Rhinolophus ferrumequinum: one gene and its partners. The protein of the gene in region 3 interacts with the protein of the main gene of each other region in a biochemical or structural test. Links are inferred from orthologs where the notes say so. Each region holds a gene or a part of one and is shown on either strand. Other genes may lie near its edges. The genes, in order: PRKCZ, TLK1 and MBP.

Region 1 (7,118 bases), on a different chromosome or scaffold from region 3:
CGAGTGCAGTGAACGTTGTCGCTTGCACCAGTTTCTCAAAATCCCGCGACTTGTGACAAAGAAAGGAAACTTCTGCTGCCCATTCTGGGCTCTTCCTGTGACCTGCTGGGTCCTCGTGGTCCCCGCCGGGTCAGTCTCACACCTGCCAGGATGACCAGTGGACCCCCCTACCCCCAGGTGACAAGAGGGCACAGGGAGTGCTGGTGGCTTCCACAGGCGTGTCCCCTGCCCGGCTGGGTCTGTCCAGGGAGGAGGCGTGTCAGGACTGGAGGGTTTCTCCTCGGCCCACATCCTTCCGTGATGTGGGATTTTACAAGAAGCCCGTGCCACTTTTACAATCACTTAACAAAAACACATCTTTGAATTTTCATTTGGAAATAAGAGGTGTTGGTGATTATGAAAGTATATGAGGTCTTTGTGGAAAATCTGGGCAAACAGAAACTGCCCAGAGGTGAAAAGGACCCTCCCTCAGCCACTGGGGCCCTCCTGGGTCTGTCTGGGGTCTTGCGCTCAGGTCCAAGGGTCACCTTCCTTCTCCGCCCACATGGGTTGTCCTTGCACCCGCCTTTAAGCTGCTGATTGCAGAAGGGGAGAGGTGTAACTCTGCCCAGTGACCCCCAGAACAGGGCCCGTGGTCCTAGGAGGCCGGCCTTGTCCCAGCACTTCCAAGGGGTCTTCACCTATTCGTTCATTCATTCATTCATCCATTCATTCATTCCACTGTGTGCCAGATGCTCAGAGACATGGGGACACAATAGTGACCCCGGCTGACTGGCTCCCAACCCCCATCACTTCTGGAGGGGCAAGTGGTCTGAAAATTGGGGAACAGACACCCTCCCTGGTCACCAGAGTACAGAGCAGGTGGCAGACACAGTGACAGCACTGGGTGCCCAGGACATCACAACCTCACTCTACCCTTGAGGCCTTAACAGGGGTGGCTCAGCGCCGGTGGCCACCAGGAAACCCCCGAGGTCACCCGCCCCCAACCTTTGGAGGTGGTCTGAGGGCCTGGGCAGGTGGGGGCCTTTGTTTTGCAGAGCTAGTTGGTGGGCAGAATGCAAAAGTCCTGGCCTCCACCTGCTCTCAGGGGACCTTTTCTGGGCACCGCAGGCTACCCTCACTCCGGCCTGGGGCTCGATGTGGTCCCAGAGCCAGGCGTGGAACCTCCCCCCCAGGATGGCCTCCTGAGATAGGCACCTCCATTCCCCAAGCCCGCGGAGAACAAAGCCCTCCCACCCCAGCTCTCTTCCGAACTTCCCCTGCCAGGATTGGGGACTGCAGTGACCCAGGTACCAGCCTCCAGGAGGGAGGCTCCCACATGGCAGCTGAGGCGAGACCAGTGCCCAGGGGACACTGGATGTCAGTGGCTCCAACCCCAACAAGGCTGTCCCGGTTAGAAAGGGCTCTGGGGTTGTACTTGGGCTGTTGTGTCCACTGGGGCCTTGGCTAGGGCATATCCGAGAAATGGTGTCCCGTGGAACGGCCACCCACCAGCCCGTCCTGCCTGCTGTGGGCATCAAGCTCTGGACTCCTTCCCTGTTGGGCCACGCTTTGAGGCAGAAAATCAGAACACCCGGGGATGCTGTGGGATGTCAGATGGCCTGTGCCCATGAAGTGCAACCCGTCAGGAGTGCCCAAGGCTGTGGGGACAAGACTGCAGGCCTCGCATGGGGGTGGGGTTGGGAGGGCTGCACCCCACACATTTGCCTCCTGGGCTGCCGCTCCCATGGCAGATTCCTGCTCATCCCTCACAGGGTAAACACTCGTACCTGGTTCCCCTTCACGTCCAACTGAAAGTCATGGAGCTCTGTGCCCAGGCGGAGGGATGCAGCGGTCACCCCACAGGGGGGAGGCGGGCAAGCGGACTGATACAGGCATCAGGAATGGTCAGTAGAGACTCAAAGGAAGTGTGGGTTTTGGAGAAGTAGCTCCTGGGAGAGGGAAGAGTGGTGAAAAGGCCCCGAGGTGAGCAAGAGGCAGGAATGTGGCCAGGTGGCCAGGTGGGCTGAGCCAGTATGAGGATGGTGAGAGATGAGGGCAGAAGGAAATGGGACCCCAGTCCCTGCAGAACCTGGGGTTTTTGCCTGTGATCCATGGGGGATCATTGGGGATTTTGAACACCAGGTGGACACAGACTGACGCATGTTTTAAGGAAACTGGAAGCTTCTGCAAAAATCCCAGTGCTGAGGGTGGAGTGGGAGGTGGCCGTGGAGGTGGCAGGACGTGGCTGGAGTCTGGACCTATGTTGAGGGTGGAGGGGCCCGGATTTGCAGCTGGAGGGGAGTGGGGTGTCAGAGGCAAAGGGAACTCCAAGGTTTTTGAGTTGAGCACCTGGAAAGGAGGGGTTGGCATGACAATGAAGGAGGTGAAGGGCATGGTGGAGGGAGGTCTGCTAGGATGAGAGGTTCAGGGGAGCGGGCTGAACTTGGGATGGCATTTGGAGCCAAGGAGGAGGGGTGGGGGAGAGAGCATCCTAGGGTGAGTTCCCAGGGGATCATCAAGGGTCAATTAAGAAAAAGTCTGAGGAGTGACACAGGAGTCCCGGTGGAGGAGGGGCTCAGCGAAAGTGGCAGGAGAAAGTGGGGATACGGACTGCAGATGGCTCCTTCCTGACAGGAATTTTGTAGTAAAGAGCAGAGAAATGAGCAGGTGGGTGGCAGGGTGTGGGGTGCAGAGGGTTTCTCTAAGAAGGGAGAATTCACAGCACCTTAAGTAGGTGAGAGATGGGCCGTCAAAGGGCTTCTCTGTGGCCATCTCTAGGAAGAACGTGAGCTCTATGACCACTTGGTTCCCCAAGGGTCCCCCCAACGCCTGGCACCCAGGAGGCGCCAGGAAGCATCTGTGGAATGAGAGAGGGTGGGAAGCCCTTAGGATTGTCCAGGTGAGGAGTGGTGAAGGCTTAGCAGAGACTGCGTCAGAGGTTGCCAGCTGGGTGGAATGTGGAAGGGGGGGGAGGCGGCCGGAGAGTAGCCAATGGAAGGACCGGTTTGGCAGGGGTGGCAGGGATGGGGGCTGCAGACCTATGAGCCTGGGATGCCCACCTGGCGCCCAGGTGAGGTCCTGCTAACAGCACACGTGGGTCTCTGTGGACGCAACGAGTAAGGGGTGGGTTCCTCAAGGAAACCCAACCCCACATTTAAGGGCGGGGGGGCTAGGCTGCAGGCCCTTAGAGAAGGCGTGAGCCGTGGATAGTGTTCAAATGCAACCGTCCAGATCAAACGCCAAGGTGGACGTTGTGGATTCAGAAATGAAGGTCATGGGCGACCCCGGCAAACGCAGTCTCCTCGTCCCAGGAGCAGAGGGAGCCGGCTAGCGAGTGTAGACAAGCCTCCCCTGCAAGGGGATCTTGGATTCCACGGTGGAGGAGGGCGGCTGGGGCCCGGACAACCATCGGGGCCTGGCCCCTCTCAGCCGTGGTCTTGGCCGGGGTCTCAAGACCTCGGTCTCCGCATCAGTAAACTGTCCGGACGCGGGGCACTGGGGATTCGGGGTCGGAGCTGCTGACCCACACTTGTCCTCCCCGGAGGCGGACCTCTCTCTGGCCGCCCCCCGCCCACGTCACCAGCGACCCCCTCCTCTCTGTACCCCAGACCAGCGCTTGCCCTGGAATCACCCGGGTCTTGTTAGTATAGATGGCTGGAGTTTCGATTCAGCGAATCTAGACCCGAAAGTTGGCATTTCCAAGTTCCCGGGGCGTTGCAGCACGGAGACCCCACGTAGGAATCGCGGGCACCGGAGCCCACTGCACCGAGGGGAACGCGCAGGGCGGCTGCTGTCGGAGTCCCCGGCCGCCGGAGCCGCCGGGGGTTGCCGGGCAGAGCCGGGCCGCGCGCGCTCCCATTGGCCGCAGGTGGACCGCGCCCCGCCCGACAGGTAGTGTCCCCGCGCCGCGCCATTGGGCCGCGGCCGCGGGGTCCCCCGGGGATTGGCCCAGGTGGCGGCCCCGCCTCGCCCTTATTGGCCGCAGGTGCCACCGCCCCCGCCCCGGGACCGTCCGCCCCACCGATTGGCCGCCGGCTGGGTCGGCCATGTTCGGACTTCCCCCCCGCGGGGCCTGACGCCGTACTCCGCGGGAGCGCGCCCCCGCCGGCCGCGCCCCCTCCCCGCCTCGCGCGCCGCCGAAGTTCTGCGGAGTTGGCGGGGCCAGTGCTTCCCGACCCCGCGCCGAGCGCTCCCTTCCGCGTTCCGCCGCCGGCCCCACCTGACGCCGGGCCCCTGGGGGCCCCGTGCCATGGCCCGAGCGTCCTGGGCGCGGCGCTGACGGCGGCCGGCGGAGCGCGCCATGCCCAGCAGGACTGGCCCCAAGATGGACGGGAGCTGCGGCCGCGTCCGGCTGAAGGCGCACTACAACGGGTGAGCCCTGGCGCCCGACAACCGCCCTGCGGGGCGGGCGCGGGAGCAACCCGCCCCGCGCAGGTCGTCGGGGGCCGTGTCGCCGCTGCAGCGGGCGGCCGACAGCCGGGGGCTCCCGGTCGCGGCGCGGGAGGGAAGGAACGGCGAGGCCCCTCCGGGCCCAGGGGCGTCCCGGGAGGTCCTGACGCGCCAGCGCCAAGGGGCGGCCGGGACGAGGTTTTCCTGGGCTCGGACTTGCGGGGGGGACTCCGCGGCGCGGGCGCGGGAGCCGGAGGCAGGCGTCGCCGAGCGCTCCACGGTCCTGGGCAGTGTTGACATTTTCCCTGGAAAGTTGGCTAGGATACTAAGGCCACAAACCTGTAAGGATTCAAGTTTTTGTCAAATTGTGAAAACTGCTGGCAGACTTTTAAAAATCGGGGTTTCCTAAATTTTCTCAATTTCCGCGGCCAGAGATCTCAGTTTAAGGAAAGTTTATGACCTATGCGAAGGCCAGGCGGTTAGTCGCCGGTGTTTGCACGAATGCCGGGCGCCTGGAAGGGCTCGGCGCGGTTCGGTTGAGACCACACCTTTCGGACACTGACCAGCCCTGCATCCGCGCACGGCGCCTTGGACTCTACCTGCCTCGCTGTGAAATGGGGCGAGTCGGCGCCTCACAGGGGTCAGTGGCCGGGAGCGCTGGACACTTGGCCGCCGAGCAGCCCTGGTGGGGACAGAGCGGGTGGCGTCCAGAGGCCGGGAGCCCGCCGCCACCCCTTGCGCGGTGTAGACAGCGCTCTAGGAAGAACTAGGCTCTTTGCTGCTGCCTTCCACCGGTGTTGGTCTCCAGGAGTCCCCAAGTCGGACCTTGCTGCTCCCAGGGTCACCACTGCCCGGTGGGGGTGGGCAGAGCGGAGCGCCGACCCCACGGGTGAACTTGGCGGTTGCAGCTGTAGTAGCATGGAGTGGGGTCTGCCCCGTGGGCACAGCGCTATGGGCACCGCCCTATGGCACCGCCCAGCGAGTCCTCAGGCTGAGCAGGGGCTTTGGGTTGTTGACCTGAGCGTTTCTTGTTTCTGATCTCGGGTCAGGCCTTTCCTGTCCCCTCGGTGCCCCTCAGCCTGGTGGAACGGTGCTGGGGGGTTGGTGGCAGAGCCCCAGGGCAGAAGGATTTCTGGGGGCCGTGCTTGCAGGCCTTTGTGAAGAGGCCCTGAGTTCTATCTTTTGGCCAGGAAGGGTGGGCTGCGATTAAAGCTGGTGGGGTGTCAGCTAGGCCCTGGCTCTGTACCCGTCCACAGGTTTGAGCTTATCCACCGGCTTGCCCGGGGTAAACTGTGGATCCACTGTGGAGCATTTGAATTGAGCAACCGGCCTTTGTGAAAATCAGAGATGGTGCTCGATGAGAAGATGCCCGCACCCAGAGCGGCCTGGGGGTGGGGTGGGAAGCAGACCCTACAGCCTTCCCCCAGGACAAGTTCCAGGAGGCACCTGTAGGCCTTGAGCTGTGGCGTGGGGGCCACAGTGGAGGCAGGTCCTGGGGAAAGTTCAGCAGACCTGGGGGAGTTCTGGGGAAGCCGCCCCGCCCACCACGTCCGCTCCCCTGGCTTTGGCCCCGGGAGAGCGATTTGGTTACCAGGAGTAATGTGACCTGTTGAGCCTGGTTTCCTCAGGCACAGGAGGCCACGCCCCACCGCTTTCCTCTTCGTTCCATTCCAGCCTCTGCTCCTTCCTCCCCTTCACCCATCCCGTCCCATCCCTCACCTCTCCCCCCTTCCCTTCCCTTCCCTCTTCCCCTCCTCCTCCTCCCGCTGCTCCAACACTCCTCTCCCTCCCGCACCCCTCTTTTCTGCCAGCTGTGCCCTCCCTAGGTTCCTTTGCAGGCCCGGCTCCTCACTTCCTCCCAGGCCTGCTTTTCCTAATGGGCTCCTGCACGGGGGCGTCACCCAGGGAGCTGGAGACGCCGCTGTCTGAGTTGGGAGACCTAGTCCTCAGAGCTCCACAGTGATGCAGGTTCCAGAAAGTGCCCGCCAAGGCCCGGGCTCTCGCACAGACCCCCCAGGTCCAGGTGAAATCCCGCCTCTGGATGAGATGCTGCTGGTCCCTCTGGGTAGGGGGTTGTTTGGGGGCAGCCCGGCCAGGGGCCAGACACATTGAAGCCGCCATTTTTAAAAAGCGGGGGAGGCTCTTCAGCTGCCCCTCTGGTCACCCTTCGCATCCCCTGAGACCTCCCAAGGCTTGAGATCAGGGTCTCCCTCCCCTCTCGCGGGGCCTTTAGAGGGTGTGTGGTCACCGGAGTCTGAGTGGGGTCTGGCAGCACCTGTGTTTTCCATGGAGTTTTCAGGGGGTTTCCGGTTGATGCTTGGGGCGTTTGGAGACCCTATTCTGCCGGGCTAAACCTCACATGGCCACTTTTCTAAGGTCAGAGAGATGACTGTGCTGGGTCTGCCCTCCCTCCAGCTCAGAACGCGAATTGTCCAGGACCTGCGCCGTGCGAAGCCCAGGCAGGGGCTGTGCTCTGTGGCCTGACACACCTGGGGTCCAGGGAGGGGCCGTTCCGGGCGGTTGGGTGCTCTCTCCTGGTCGCCGGCCCAGGGCTCTGGCTTGCTCAGAGGGGCTGCTGGATTCAGGATTGGGGTGAATCAGGGGTGGGGGTCAGGGGCCTGGTGGGGGTCAGGGGCCTGGTGCCTGTTGGGGGTGGGGCCCTCCCCGTGGTGCTGCAGTCCTGCCCAGGAGGGGAGGCGCCCAGTGGCTGCGAGAGGCTGTGATGTGTGAAGACGAGCCCAGCGCTC
Region 2 (7,422 bases), on a different chromosome or scaffold from region 3:
TGGCACCAACTGCATGCCATGCAACTGCTAGATGTTGGGAATATATGTAATAGACAGACAGATAAGGTCCTTGCCCTCCCTAAGATTTTAGCCAAGGTGGGGAAACAAATGACAGTAAGGCAATGATCTATATACTGTGGGAACAGTGGTGTGCTGGTGAGGAAGCCCTTATTTGTAGTTTTTGCTGACTTTGGAGTTGTAAATACTCTTACCATAGCCAATTTCAAGCTACAGATGTGACATCATTGAACTCTGAGTTATGAGAGATGTACATAATCTGCCCCTGCCCCCTGCCCCCAAGTCCTCAGAAAGGACACCATCCAGTCTCTGGGCTCATTTCTGATTGGTTTGGGGGAAAGGGGCTTGGGCATTATTTCATCAAATTAAGAAAGAATCAAATGTTAAGAGCTATAAAATGCATTTATTATTATCTATAATATTGGATGTTTTGTAAGTACTTTTACTATGGTATACAAATAGAAAAGAGTTTAATAAACATAGCTGTAAATTAGGATCAGTCTACAGAACAGGGCCCAGATTCTCCCTTTTGTATATGAACTTCTCTCAGGAGACCCTTGAAGACCTCTTCTGCATTGCACCCTCACCTTTATCCCAGCTTATTGTTCCTCATCATTCATTCATTCCACATTGACAGAGCCCTTGGTCTCCGCCACACACCGTACTAGGGGCTTAAATCCCTGTCCTCATGGAACACTCAATTCACAGAAAGAACATTCTCCCATCTCTTCCTAATGCTTTTTTTTTTTTTTAATTTTTATTGGGGAATATTGAGGAACAGTGTGTTTTTCCATGGACCCATCAGCATCATGTCAAGTCATTGTTTTTAATCTAGTTACGGGGGGCGGGGCGCAGCTCACTGGCCCATGTGGGAATTGAACCCGCGACCTTGGTGTTATTAGGACTGCACTCTAACCACTGAACCAACCGTCCACCCTCTTTCCAATTCTTTCTAGTTGGATTTACTGCACTCTCCTATCGTTTACTCAGTTCACTCCTGTGTTTTCATGCTGGCTTCCCCCCGGGAACATTTCCCCAAGAAAGCTTGCCACAAACCCCTTTCTAATCATCTTCTCTTCCTTTTCTTGAGATTTCTCCTCCCTCATAGAGTGGCAGTTGTTCCTTTTTTCTCCGAATCGGGACTCTCCTGATTTTTGGTAACTTTTCCTATTGTGCAAGCTATCCCCCTCGCCATCTGCTCTACCTATGAAACGTTTTTTGAATGCGTATGTACTAACCATGTGCAAGGTGTGGGGGAACCTCTACTTACCACTTAAACGTTTTCATTAATCACAATCATTTTATAAAATTATGTATTTACACATTTGTATTCAGGCCCTTTTTAAACTTGTTACTTAATACATGATTCACAAAGTTTGAAAAAGCATAAAGGGGGAAAAGAGTAATGATGTAATTTCACAACCCTAGGCTAGTCATTATTAACTTTTTTGGGTGGATCCTTTTAGTCATTTGTTATGTATACTTACAAACAAATTGGGATCATACCCACTTTTTCACTTATTATTGTATGAAAATTTTATCATCTTTTTTCAGTGTTCTTTGAAGACATGATTTTAAATGATGTCATGACATTCCATTTTCAGCCTAAGCCACAGTTTATTTAATTAGTTCCCTGTTGCTGGCAGTAGCCTCTTTATAAGTCAGTGTTGACTATCTTCATCTTAAGCTACAAGAAAGCAGGAATCAGTCATTTAAATGTCCTTCCTTGGCAGCACTCATAACAAAAACATAGCTAAAGTAATTGAATTAAGTATATGCTGTGATCCTCTAGTTACCACTTAAAATAAAAGGCGTTTGTCTGCATAGTGTTACCCAGGTTGGTATAAAGGTAACGAGAAGCTCTGGAGAGAGTTGGGAGAAAGATAACCTCAATCTTTTTGGTTGGGTTTTTTCTCTTGAGAGGAGTGGAGCTCTGTATAAAGTCTTGGAATTGGTTAAGAGCTTTAGAAATCACCTAGTGATTCTAACCTCTTTTTCAAAGATGATGAGATTGAATCAAGGATTGTTACCTGCTGAGACTAAAACCCAGGTCTCTTGACTTTCCTTCTGTCTTATGCTTTTTACACAATGAGCTAAGCTCTTTTAAAATACAGAAAAAGCATACATTTACATAATTTACCTACATGTTGTTATAGGACTTGTTTCCTCATTCTAGTGTGCGCATACTTTGGTATATAAATCTAATGGTAAGGCCCTAGATATGTATCCATGAGAAAGGAAAGCATGTAATAAGCCAAAAAGTGGAAACAACACAAATATTCAACAGGTAAATGGATAAAGTGTGGTATATTCATATAGACTGGAATACTCAGCAATCAAAAGAAATGAACTATTGATAAATATAGCAATGTAGATGAATCTCAAAATGTTTATGTTGAGTAAAAGAAGCCAGACAAAAGAGTACAAACTGTATGATTCTATTTATCTAAAATTCTGGAAAAATGAAACTAATCTAAGTGACAGAAAGCAGACCTGTGGTTACTTGGGGGTCAGGGTGGAGTGGAAGAACCACCTCAAAGGGGTAAAGGAAACTTTGGAGGCTGATGGATACACTCACTATCTTGATTGTAGAAATGGTTTCAGGAGTACATATATGTCAAAATTTATCAAATTGTACATTTAAAATATGTGCAATTTATTGTATGTCAATTATATCTCACTGAAGTGAAATCTACCTATTAAGTTTGAAAAGCAGAACAAGACTAGAAACTCACTGAAGAATCTGAAGCACAAGAAAACTAAAATTATTTCTGGAGATAACTGACAACCAAGTTTCTAGTCTAATATGAGTTTATCTGAACAAAACATTACTGTGAGAAATGCAAAGTCATAAAAATAAAAAATAGAAATGACATTTTTGTCCCCCTGGTAATCATGCCATTTCCTCATGTCTGTACAGTTGCCCTATATCATCTTTTTAGTGTTCAATTTGGTTTTTTAGAGAGCAATAACCTTGTATTTTTCCTTATTAGACGGTTCTTTTATATACAAGACGTCCAATCACTGATGTGTCTGTACGTGTGTGGCTGTGTAGAAAACTACACTGCATCTATAAATTGTAGCAAATACTGTATTTTCCTTTGGAATTTTGTAGTCGGGACTCAGCAGCGGCACTGCAAAGAAGCTGGAACTTTCTGGAAACCATACCCTCTTCTACAAGATGAGCGCTGCATAGTTTCCCTAAATATGTGAAATCAGTAAGCAAAGTTGTCTGTTTAGATTTTCCACTTAGTTTCAAAATAAAGAATTGCTATACCACACATACGGTGCACAACACCATCGAATATTCTTTTTTAAGGAAACATTCATAAAGTTTTATTTCCACACTCCACTCCCGACGTATTTTCTTAGCTTTTATTCTGTAATCACTCCCATTCTACAGACTGGGAGACGCACACAGGTTTTTTTTTTTGCATAGTACAGATGGCTAGGAAAGAAGCAACTCTCAACTTTTCAGTTCCATTTTGAGAAATGATCGCATCGAACTCGTGAGAAACGACAGCGCAGCGAGCAGCAGCAATTCTCCCCAGGCTGGGTGTGGGTCAGGAGCCAGGCGCGCGCTTCCGCGGGAGACGGGGAGTCAGGTGGCAGCGGAGCAGGAGCCGGAGCGGCGCGGCCGGGGCGCGTCTCCCTCTGGCCGGCGCGGGAGGCCACTCCCGCGCACGCGAGTCCGCCGGCCCGAAGCTCCCGCGCCGCGATCCGCGGGTGCGCCAGGGGCGCCCGCGTCACCTCCCTCGCCACCCCCCGCCCCCAACCCCTGGCAGGTCCCTCCCCCATGCCTGCTCCCGCGGCCGCCGCCGCCGCCGCCGCTACCGGAGGCGCAGGAGCCTCGCGATAGTGTTTGCACAGGCGGCGCGTGACGCCGCCGCCGCCGCCTGTAACTGATGCAGAGGTTACCCCGCTGCCTCAGCCGCCACCCACCGCCCGCCGCCGCCGCCACCCGGGCGACGCCGGGGGCCGACGCACTGCAGAGGTGCCGGCAGGTTCCGCCCGCGGAAGTCTCCTCGGCCGGCGCAGCCCGCGCTCCGCCCGCGCTCCGACCCCGGCACCGGCGGACGCCCCCTCGACGCCTCAGCCACCTCTCTCCTTCCCTCCGCCTCTTCCCCGGCGCGCCAGCCTGCTCCCTCGCTTCTCCCCCCTCTCCTCCTCCCCGTCCCCTCTCCTCCCCTCACCTCTTCCCTCCCCACCTCCCCCCTTCTCGGCTTCCTCCCCCATCCCCTTGACTCTCCCCTCCCTGCCCTCGCTCTCTTGCTCGCCCTCAGCGCGGCCCCCGCCATGACGGAGGCGGGTGCCGGTGCCGTTGCCGCCGCTGCCGTCGCAGGGGGGGAGTTGGGTTCCCAGAAAGTAGCTTGATGAGTGTCCAAAGTAGCAGTGGAAGTTTGGAGGGGCCGCCATCTTGGTCCCAGCTCTCCACGTCTCCAACCCCGGGCTCGGCGGCGGCGGCCAGGTCCCTGCTGAATCACACGCCGCCATCCGGGAGGCCCAGGGAAGGTAAGCGCCGTCGCGCCAGCGCCCGCTCGCGGGCCTCCCCTCGCGCGCTGGGGAACCCGCGACCCCTAGGTCTCCTCCCCGCGACCCCGGGGTGGGGGATGGTGGTGAGGTAGACGCGAGGCCGCCCGTCTGCGGGGAGGTAGTGCGCTGGCTGTGGGTGGTGGTTCGCGGGTGACGGAGGACACGGGAGATGGGGTGCGCGCTGGAGGGGACGGGGCGAGGCGAGGGCACAGACTCGCCTGGGGTTCTTAGGAGCCAGTCCTGCTAGGGTGGAAAAACTCCCCCCGGCCGCGAGCCCCTTTCTGCTCCATTTGCTAGTACACTCAGTACTCTTAACCTCCTGGCCTCCGGTCTCTGGTGGGTTTTCCCTCCCGTTGAAGCATTCATCCTCGAGCCCCCTCCCCTTCCCTCGCGTACTCCTCCCATAGAGGCGGTCCCTGCTCTGCGAGCTGTGCTGCCCGGGACCTGAAGGATGCCCCCCGTTTGAAGGGTCTCTGCCCTTCGGGGAGAGCCGCTAAAATGATCAAAACCGACTTTGATCCCTTGCTTGGCCCCCTAGAGCAATTTAACGGATAGACTGACTCGTGTGCAGGCTTTTTAAACCACCTCTTCAGATGGTGGCAACTTTCCTTCGGCATCACCTCCTGTGTGTTTGTGCATTATCTCTACTGCAAGTAGGCTACTGTTCTCTGACAGGATCGTGGGTTTTGTGGGAAATACCCGCTTAAAGGTTTACTGCAAACACGCACCAGATCGGTTACAATTGTTTTCTAAGTTTTCTGCTTTCTTGCATGTAAGTGTGCTGCCACCAGATGTAGCAGTTACACAGCTAGTAAGACACTAGAGTGCTTTTCCCTAAAATTTCAACTTGCTGTATGTGTTTAACTTTAAGTATACCACATAAAATGATATTTCGGAGAACACACATTTGGGGAAGAATAAATGTGCGTGGAATCGCGTTTAACGCTCTTTTGTCTGGAACACGTTGAGCGGTATTCATCAGCATTTGGGCTCACTCCCAGTTGTGTCACACGAGATTGTAGCCACCTTCTCAAAAAAAAAAAAAGACGTCTGGTAGTCCTATAGTCTAGTAAATCATTTAAAGAAACCAGGAGCTTTGATTTATGTAGGAATCTGTGGGATTAATTTATTTTGAAAATATCTGTCAATTTTTACTACTAGAGCCTTGACAATTGTTAATCAAGTGTTTTGTGCCCTCAATCCACTGGTTCCGGCATAGCATTCTTTGTCATTTTGTTCCTGTGAGCATGTGTGAAAGTGACAATAGGCTCAAAGATTGGCATGAATTTGCTCTAGAAAATTCATGGAAAGGTTTGATTTATGGCATCCATTAAACATGCTAAATACATTGACAGACATTTTCCCCTTTCCATCTCACCCGACACTGAGTTCTGATTATTAGAAGATAAAAGTTTTATTTATTGATTAACTCAAATTTAGCACATTTGGTGATGTTTTTTGCACTGGAAAATTTGTAAATGAATGTTTTAAAATTTATTTTGTAAATAGAGCAGTTGGCGCTTTCAGCATGTTTTTACTTTTGTCTGTAGTTTCATTAAGGTGCTTAATGATAGTGTTATGAATGATAATGTAATGAGTGATAGTAAGAGATGGTTTTGGGAAAGACTCCTGGTTTTTAAGGCTGTACCTTTCTTTCATTCATTCATTCATCCATCCATCCATCCATCCATCCATTCATTTATTATTTTTTTTCAAATGCATTTATTGAGCCATTTCTGTGAGACAGATGCCATGCTACACACTGAGGATGTAGTATTTAGTTGTTCATCTGTAACATCTAATCCGTATTAGTAATTTGGGGGCTGCAAAACTTAGATTGTAAGTTTTGGAGTTTACTTCAACTTTAGTTTAAAAAACTTCTATTTTGCACTTTTCCTGATGTTTGAAATTTTTGAGGGGTTGGAATAATTTAGCTTGAACTTCCAAATAACCAGAATTTTTCCAGCAGTTTAGATTATAATCGATTTTTATGAAACCTAAACTAGTGAGTCTCTCTGTTAATTAATGAAATAACAGTACATGCTTTTGTGAAAGTAATTCTTCACCCCAAGTACCTGTAAGGCCATAGTCTTTTTGACCAACTATCATGTAAGTTAAAATTACGTTAATTGTCCCTAGGGTTATATATTCATCTTGAAGCTATAGTCTCAGATTTCACTAATAGCCCCAGGTATCAAGATGGAGACATTTTCTTTTGAGTGGGATCTCAGTTTTTATTTTAACTAGTGTTTAGCATATTTTCCAGGTATACATTTAGTATGTTATATAAATTGATGTTAATTGAGAGAGCTTTCGACTTCTGGTGACTGCTAGTAAGAACTATTAATATAAATGGAACTTGACTGTATGTATCAAGAAAGAGAACAAACCTTGTTCCTTGAAAAATTGGGCCAATTTCCTATATAATAGGAAATTTTAAATTTAAAAGAGACACGTGTATGTTTCCACATATAATGGTTATATGTGATGAACTTTTAAGAAAACTTAACTTTGAAAATGGGCTGTTTTTAAAGATGTGCTGTAAGTATCTGAAAAAATTAATTATTTTGAAGTTTTGATATATTTGAAACTGAAAATCTAAGATTATAAGCTAATTATTTTTAATGCTCCATATTTTGACTTTCTTCCTTTCCCATCCTATTCTCATCATATGAATATAATTTTGGCTTAATTACAAATAAAATACAGTTAAATATTATAAGATTTAGGAATTTATTAGAATTTAGGGATTTGTATTATATAGCAATGACGACTATTTATCTTGGGAGTCCCAAAACTTTTTCTTTATCAGTCTTGAATTTCTCTGAGAGTTTCTCACAATGTAGCTATAGATTTCATGTTGGATCTTTG
Region 3 (8,050 bases):
ATATTTTGTGGGATGATTGATACCTTCAGTCAGTTGACTTTAAGGAGATTGCCCTTGATATTATGGGTGGAACTCATCCAGTTGGAAGGCTTCGGAGCCACTACTGAGGTTTATTGGAGAAAAAAGAATTCTTCCCCCAGACGGCAGCATCAGGTCCCGCCTGAGTCTCCAGCCCCACAATCATGTGACCCAGTTCCTTGAAATAAGTCTCCTTATGGATGACAGACTAGTAGAGAGATAAGATCTCTGCATCTCTGATTGGTTCTGCTTCTCTGGGAGCCCTGATGAATGCACCTTCCCACACCAGAACAGTACATCGTTTGTGTATCACCTCAGATAGTTTCTACAAGGATAAAAGCCCTGGAAATGTATTTTGATACGTTGTCTTTCTGAGGAGATTCTTTTTGGTGTTCAATCAGCGTTTTTGAGCTGCAATCCTAGTGTCTTGAACATATTGCCTGAGTGACTCATGTGGCCAGAGGAGCAGGCAGCTTCCAAATGGCCCTGTGTTCTTCCAGGACTAACTTTCCCATCTTATTCCTGTTATGAACGCTGTGTGATTTAACTGGAAAAGTTAGAACCATGCAGATGGAATTTACACGCGACAAAACAGCACAAAGCACCAGGTTCATCTTTGTGCTTTCCTGGCCTCCTGAGGCACAGGGAGTTTTCACTTCGCATTTCATCGCCTTTAATTACGCTTTTCTGCCAACTTGATTATTACATATTTGTCTCATTTCCTAGCTTAAATCATCGCGGTTACAGTCAGATGCAGCCCAGGAGCCCGAGGCTTGGCGCAGCCTCAGCAAGGAGTATGGAGGCGGGGGCGGGGGGGGGAGCTCTCTTTGTAAAATTTCTCCTGGGAGACAAACCAGCAGTCCACAGTTAATTTCTCATTATTTACTGGACTCACTTTACCCAGCCCGGCACCTGCCGTCTCCTCTTTCTGCCCAGGGTCAGGGTCAGCGGGTGGCCTGCAGTGTGAGCACAGATAAGGGGTGACTGGATCCTCTCCAGGAGCCGTCAAGCTGCGTCTCTTCTCACTACTGAAGCTGCATGCGCACCTCATCCTAACCTGAGAGACAGCATGTCGACAGCGGCACTGCCGGTGCCAAGGGCAGGCCACCCGTCCCCACCCCACGGCCCAGGCAGTCAGGCCTGTTTGTAAGATGGCATTGATGGACAGATAGGCATATATAGGTGCATACGGAGAGAGACTGATAGAGAGAGAGAGAGAGAGAGAGAGAGAGAGAGAGAGAGAGAGAGAGAGAGAAACAGATCAGAAAATATTTAGAAAGGCAGGGTTGAGCCAGCTAAACTCCCTAAGTGTTAAAAATGTAGCTTCTTCTAAACCAATGAGTGGCCTTGTCCCGTTGGCCTTGGATGTTGTATATGCTTGCAGCAGCTCTGCTCAGGGAAAGGAAAGAGGTGCTGTGAGTTCATTCTCCTCTTCCTCAGCTTCCTGCTGAACTTTCTCGTGACGTAAGAATGCGGCCCTTTTATTCTCAGTTGCTGGTTGTATTGGTTTTCTTCTACTTGCACCCAATGAATAATCTGGTCCAGGAGCGGGGTGTTACTATGAATGACTTCTAAATGTGGAATTGGCTGAGGTGAGGTGAAGACAGGGCAGTGATTGGCCATCCCTGACACTTTAAAGGTCAGCTTACGGCTAAATTGCTCGCTTGTATGTTGGCACGTGGGTGATGACAGCTGCAGGACTAGGGAACGGCAGGAAAACTCCAAACGTAGGAGAGGTTTAAGGACTGCAGGAAAGAGCCACGCTGACATCGGAGCTGGCCGCCTTCTGAGGGCCGAGGAGAAACCAGCCACGGCTGGGTGAACAGAAGACCATTTTCCCTACAACGTGAGATGCAGGGTGTCTGCCAGTCTGGCTCCTTCGGCTAGTTCGTCACATCAGACCTGAGTGCACAGGGTCTTAGGGAAATCCAGCACTGCTCATGCCTGGAGCAGCACACACTGCTTTTGTTTGTGCACAACGGCCCCTGTATGATGCCGCCGTACAGATGAAACCGCTGCTGATCCAGGCAAGCTGCACGCACTCACACCGAGTTGAACAGCCTGCGCCACATATCCTTGCCAAACGGAGAAGTGTGCTCTATTTTCCTGACCAAATGAACCTCTGCTTCTGGTTGCCATAGGAACAGGTCTATAGAAATGCTCCATCCCAGAGACAGTGATACAGACGTGCAGAGTCCCTGGCCTGGCTTCTTCCACGGCCTCCCATCAGATGCTTTAAGAGGTAGAACATTAAAAGCCAGGAAGAACACTCACTTCAGTAAAACCTACTGGGTTCCATTTATCTTGTGCAATTTAGCCAGGAGCTCCAACGACAGGATCATTTTCTCATAATTGGTGGTGGCAAGTATATCACAAAACACACTTGGAAGTAGCAGTGCTCCCTGAAGGCTAATGGGCTTTGCAAAGTGTCAACTACTCCTGCTCCCATTTCATGGGGACTGTTAAGCCATGAGGTCAGAGACTCCGACCGCCTGGTCCAAGAAGAGACTTGTGACTATGCAGCCGGGAGAGACGGACAGGAGGCGCACGGGTCCTCAGTTTGTAATTTGCGCTCTTACCTGCCACAGAACCGCGTGAGCGCTGTTACCTGAGCTTAACCATCAATGTCCCTTTGGTACCGTGTACCTCACTGTGCATCCAGTTCTTCTGCTCTGCTCCTTAGAAACGGCTCCCAAATGGGATAGGCTGTGAGCCCCACAAAACTCAGATGCCCCCTTGTGCTCATAAGCACCGAAGAAGGTGAAAGCAGGGAGTTAATCATAGACATTTCCCGTCCTTAAGCAGCACTTCCAAGTGTCACCTTGAAGACTAGGGTCCCTTCTCTCCAGAAGAGGCCAGTCACATTCAGATATGCCGTCCTTTCTGTCATCCTAAAAAATAACCACTTGTCCGCTAGTTGCCCCCGACCTCGGTTTCTTTTCTGCGTCTCCTCTGCCCGTCTTTCCATCTTCTTATGAGGACACCCATGACAGCGGGTCAGGGCCACCTTAACGACCTCATCTTAGCTTGAGGACATCTGCAGAGTCCTCATTGCCAAACGATGTCCCATTCACAGGGATCGGGTAGGAAGTGGATGTAGCTTTCTGGGGAGTTAATTCAACCCGCAACGGCGAGCCGTTCTCAGTAGAGGTGAAGCTTCTTCACCATTTCAGGTGAACTGCAGAAAGAGTAAGCTTGGTGGGAATTATTTGGATTAATTTACTTCCTTCCATTAGTTTGGGGAATTTGGAGTTTAATTCAACTGAACAAAAACTTCCTGAGTGTGTATCACACACAAAACCCTGAACTAGTTGCTGCAGTACGACATGCTGAAGGCTCCTGCCATCGTTTTCTGACGTGTGTGAGAGAGGGAGCCAAGTATAACACGATTTTCTTAGGAATGTCCAAGAGACAATGAGGTTTGGATCACTTATCCTTTACTTGTCAAAAGACCCGTCCAGCGTTATTCAGCAAAATGAAACCTGTATTTTGCTAAAGGGTGCGTGCGGAGCCGTCTTCATGTGACTGAGGGGTGACGCCCTGGGTCCTTTCCCAAGCCAGGCAGCAGGGCAAATCCCTCGCTAACACTGGACCTTCCACATGCCCTTCCGTTGCTCTTTTAAATAGTGTTCCTGACTCCCTCATATACAATTTCCTTGGAGTACCCGTGAATTTGGGGGGCATTAAATCCCCATGAAATAGGCATGTGGAATTTTATCAATACTCAAAAAGGAGTTGTAACTGATAAGCCTGACGTTTGCAGACAACTGCTGGCCTAAGTGGAATTTCTATAAACCCTTGAGAAACCGGCAGCACCACCAGCAGGAAGGACAACGGCTGCTCAGAAAGCCTCCCATCAGCACCCTCACTGACATCTGTGGGCCAGAAACCCAGTGTCCTCTGCACCCCACTCACCCCGGATTCCAGCACCCTGGCCTGAGCTTTAACAAGTGTGTGGGGGGGTGAGGGGGAGTAAGAGCGACTTGAGCAGCCTGGGGTAGAGTCACTGCCCACTGCGCCCTCAGCGTTTGTCTGGGTCCCTTCCTCCCACCGTAGTTTTCCTTTCCTGAAAGTCAGCATGAAAAGACAGGGCATACAGACTGGGGACACATCACTTTCCACTGCCCTCCTGACGTCTGCCTCAAACTCCAGGAACCCACGTCCTCATCTCTCCTGAGAAAGGATCAGATTAAATATTTATATGATCACGGATGTATTTCCCTTAGAATCACCAGCATTTGCATGCAGTTGATGGATTCCGGGGTCCTTGAGGATGGCTGGTTTGGGCAGGGTGCCCGGAAGCTGTCCCTGCACAGCTGGCCCTGGGGACAGGGCTCACTGAGTCTTGCAGGCACCAGACTGCCCCCTCCCCTAACAAACCCTGTGTGGGGCCAGGTCTCCTGGGAAGTGTCAGATTCCATCCCTGACCTGGAATCTGAGTCAGGAGGGTTTCCTGGCCTCCTGTGCCCTCCTACTTGGCTGTCCTCAGGAGGCCAAGGATCCAGGGAAAGGCTCCCAGACTCCACCAAATCTGTGTGTCCAGATGACTAATGTCCAAACAGCAGCACCTTCGGACCAAGAGATGACACCGACCACAAGCCAATAAATGCTGCAGAGCTGCAGGACCCAGGATCTGTCCCCAGCTCTGGGCACTTTCTAATGTTTCCTGGGTGCTCTCCATCTGCCTCTTTGATGGAACCCTGTGCTCTCCAGCCCAGCTCCTGTTGTTGGACTGGGGTCCCTGCAGAACTAATCTCTGGTTTTCCCCAAGGGCCAGGCTTTGTGGACGGCTGGCCAGTGGAGCACCGAAGACCCGGCACTGAACTGGCTGGATCCTCGGTCACCCCACCGTGAACTGCAGCGTGAGGAGATGCTGTCTCAGGTCCCTCGGGCCTCACCTAGTGGTTTCAAACACTGAGCAGGAGGATGGGTTCCAGGAGCAGCAGGTCAGCACGGCCGCACTCTGACCCCGCCCTCCGGGGCTGACAGGCGCGGGGTCCCCGCGGATCGCCGGCTCCGCGTGGCGAGGCCGTCCCCGAGGCTGTCCCCAGGGTCGTCCTGGCTCCGGCGGCGCCGGCGGGGGCGGCAGGTGGGACTCAGCAGTGTTTACCTGGCGGCAGGAAGCCTTGGAGGCGGGAAGGGGCGGGGTGCGCGCCCGGCCTCTAAGCAGCGCCGCCAGTCAGCGCGGCGCGCCAGCGAGAGCGAGCCTCCGGCCCTGGCGGCCCGCGTCTCCTACCCGGAAGGCGGCGCCGGCAGCCCGGGGACCCCGCGCAGCCCGCGCTTGGGGCCCGGGCGGCGGGCAGGTGAACTGGACCCCGCGGCGCCCTCAGCCTGGGAGCGGCGAGCGCAGTGCGGTGGGTGACCGTCGCCGGGGGCGGGCGGGCGGCGGCGCTTTGTCTCCGCGCGCTGGGAGCGGGGCGCGGGGACCCGGGAGGGACCCGGAGCGAAGGCTCGGAGCACAGGGCTGGGGAAGGCCCCGGGGTGGGGGGCTGTCCCGCGTCTCATCCAGGGACCTTCCGCCGCTCTCCCCCGCCAGCAGCGGCGCAGGTGCTGGGGCAGGTGGCAGCCCTGTGGTCTCCCTGAACGTGATGAGCGCAGGTGTAGACGAAGATCTGCGGCGGCTGGGCTGGAACCGACGGGTTTCGGGAGGTGGTCTCTGGCTGGAGCCACGGCCAGGGACGCCGAGGAGCGAGCAGTCTGGGGTGGCGGTGGGGGGGAATGTAGGGGTGGAAGGTGACCAAGGGCAAAGAGGTAGTTCTGGGTGGGGCGGGGACGGTGGTGGTGACAGCTGATGGCAGCCTGGGGGTTCCTACCAGCTTCAAGTGCCGCTTAATGCCGCACCTGGAGCCCAGCGGACCACCGCGGACTCCCCACCCCCAGACGAAGCCCAGTTTCCCTTTGAGCTCTGAGCTGGCGACACACGACTCGCCTGGCTTCCGCCTTCGCAGGGCCTGGCCCCGCTTGGCCCGCGCCGTCGCCTGTGTCCACCTGTAACCCATCTGTGCCCACCTGCGCCTACCTGCCCTCGGGCGCCTGCGCGGGCCCGTCTTGGGCGCGACTCTCATGGACACCTGGGCCCGGCTCTCCTGGTGTGGGGGTCCCCGGGAATAGTGTGTGTTCTTCATCCATTCCCTGGCGCCCAGGTGGCTCTAAGGCTCGTGGGATGCTGGTGGAGGCGCCTGGTTTCTGTTAAACAGGGTCTACTGAGCCCCTGTTTCGGAAGGCGGAGTGGGGTTTGTTAAAACCGCGAAGTTTGTTTGGGGATTTCAGTGAGACAAGGGCAGGAAATGGGCGCGTTCAGGTTCCTGGTTCTGTTTGGCAGTTACTACGAAGTGAGAATCAACACCATGTGTTCAGTTGGTCTCTGCATCCGCGGAAGGCACTGGCTTAGCTGGGGGTGTTGGGAGGGTGTAAACACAGTGTGGGGGCGCTGTTCTGGCAGCCCACACCCACGCGGCTGGAAAGCTGGCTGGAAAGCGTGTTTCAGACCAGGGAACTTTAGGGGGCCGCCTATTTAAGACCTGTGGTTTTCGGAGATTATAGCCTGCCAAGCTCAGGAAGACATTTTACAGCCGGGGACCACCCTGGGTCTAAGCCAGGTCAGTCCTGTCCCATAGGCCCCCAGGCAGGCTCCCTGTGAGTGATGGGGCCTCCTCAGACACTGAGACCCCAGGTGTTCAGAGCTAGGAGAGCTGGGGACAGCATGGCTTTTCCAGCAATGATGGACGAGATGACGTGAGAGAAGCCAGCAGCCTGAGAGCCATATTTCTACCCGCCAAGAAAAACTCCTCATCAGTAGTTTTAGTTTTTCAAGTGGGATAAACAGAAACCTGAAAGGAAAGAGTCCAGTTAAAAACTATTGTAAAATATTGGTTAACAGTAACTCCCAAGGATTTAACTGTTCCGAAACGACATTCAAATGGACTTTGAACATCTTTCTAAAGTATCGCATTTCTGCGCAAAGATAAGAGAGTTTGACATAAGTGACTTGTTCTGTGACGTGGCGATGAATTGCTGTCATGGTTTTGAATGCGATGGCAGTGAACTGAGAGAGAGCAGACCAATCTTCCTTGTGATTTTCCTGTTTCCGCCTGAAGTTTTAAATATAACTGAAGTTTATCATGTTTGAATTTTAGTTTGGATTGTTTAAAAATTGGACACAATGTGAGCAGCTGCCTCTGTGCCTTTCTTTCCTACCCAGGTATCCAGGGAGTGTTTACTGACCCCTTACAAATTGCCAGGCTGTGTTCGGAGGGCTCCGTGTCACCTCATCAACAGTCATGACTACCCTCATTTGATATGACGACCCTATTATACCGTCGTTTTTCCTGGCAGAGAAACCAAGGCACAGAGACACCACGGGGGCGCACAGGACTCGGCTCCCAGGGTCGGCCACCAGCCCCGAGTGGCTGTCTTGCGTGGCCTGGGTAAATAGGACACCTTGCAGACCTACCATCCTTTCATCCTTTTTAAAAATTCCACCCGGAATGAGTGGCCACACCCCCGAAAACCATGCTTCCTCTTAACAATGATTTGACTATAATGGTGCTATCATGTGTCTTTGTTAGTCATCCTCTCCTTTACTTCCTTAGCTGTCAATAAAGGAGAAAAGGAAGTATTCTGACTAGTTAGTATAATTTTTAGTAAGTAATCATAAAGGACACATCTACTGGTCCGGTGGAGCCCCCAAAGGAAGGTGAGCCGGCCTGATTTGGGCGCTCCTGAGTGGCTATTAACACAGCTGTAGGTGTCCTGGGAGACCCCGTGCTTCCAAAGGTAGCCAATGAGCGATGAGCCGCTGGGCTTTTCTCCCGATCCGCACCTGAGTGCAGAGCCGGGCTGTAACCAGAGAAGCAGAATCCGTGGGAGCTGCACACCAGAGATGGAGCGTGAGGGGCTGGGGCTAGGGAGGCAAGTGGATCCGCAGCACAGAGACCAGCAGGGAGGCTACACCTCGCAGGCGTGAGTGGAGGCAGTCTCCCTCACCTTGCGACCAGGTAACTGACAACGCCTATTCGGAAGCTGTTAGGAA

What was found.
Region 1: of the proteins of MBP (region 3) and PRKCZ, one has a biochemical effect on the other in vitro, tested with the Homo sapiens proteins (2 studies listed by BioGRID). The link is inferred for Rhinolophus ferrumequinum from reciprocal best matches to the Homo sapiens genes MBP and PRKCZ.
Region 2: the proteins of MBP (region 3) and TLK1 form a complex in vitro, tested with the Homo sapiens proteins (2 studies listed by BioGRID, with this or other methods). The link is inferred for Rhinolophus ferrumequinum from reciprocal best matches to the Homo sapiens genes MBP and TLK1.

What each region holds. Positions count from the first base shown.
Region 1 is NC_046292.1:901,828-908,945, forward strand, and holds the start of PRKCZ (protein kinase C zeta type), read left to right. Parts: upstream 1-4,070; 5' UTR 4,071-4,282; coding exon 4,283-4,353; intron 4,354-7,118. UniProt on the Homo sapiens protein: Calcium- and diacylglycerol-independent serine/threonine-protein kinase that functions in phosphatidylinositol 3-kinase (PI3K) pathway and mitogen-activated protein (MAP) kinase cascade, and is involved in NF-kappa-B activation, mitogenic signaling, cell proliferation, cell polarity, inflammatory response and maintenance of long-term potentiation (LTP).
Region 2 is NC_046291.1:53,177,462-53,184,883, forward strand, and holds the start of TLK1 (serine/threonine-protein kinase tousled-like 1), read left to right. Parts: upstream 1-4,391; coding exon 4,392-4,530; intron 4,531-7,422. UniProt on the Homo sapiens protein: Rapidly and transiently inhibited by phosphorylation following the generation of DNA double-stranded breaks during S-phase. This is cell cycle checkpoint and ATM-pathway dependent and appears to regulate processes involved in chromatin assembly.
Region 3 is NC_046302.1:58,915,785-58,923,834, reverse strand, and holds the start of MBP (myelin basic protein), read left to right. Parts: upstream 1-4,975; 5' UTR 4,976-5,107; intron 5,108-5,113; exon of another isoform or gene 5,114-5,372; intron 5,373-8,050. UniProt on the Homo sapiens protein: The classic group of MBP isoforms (isoform 4-isoform 14) are with PLP the most abundant protein components of the myelin membrane in the CNS. They have a role in both its formation and stabilization.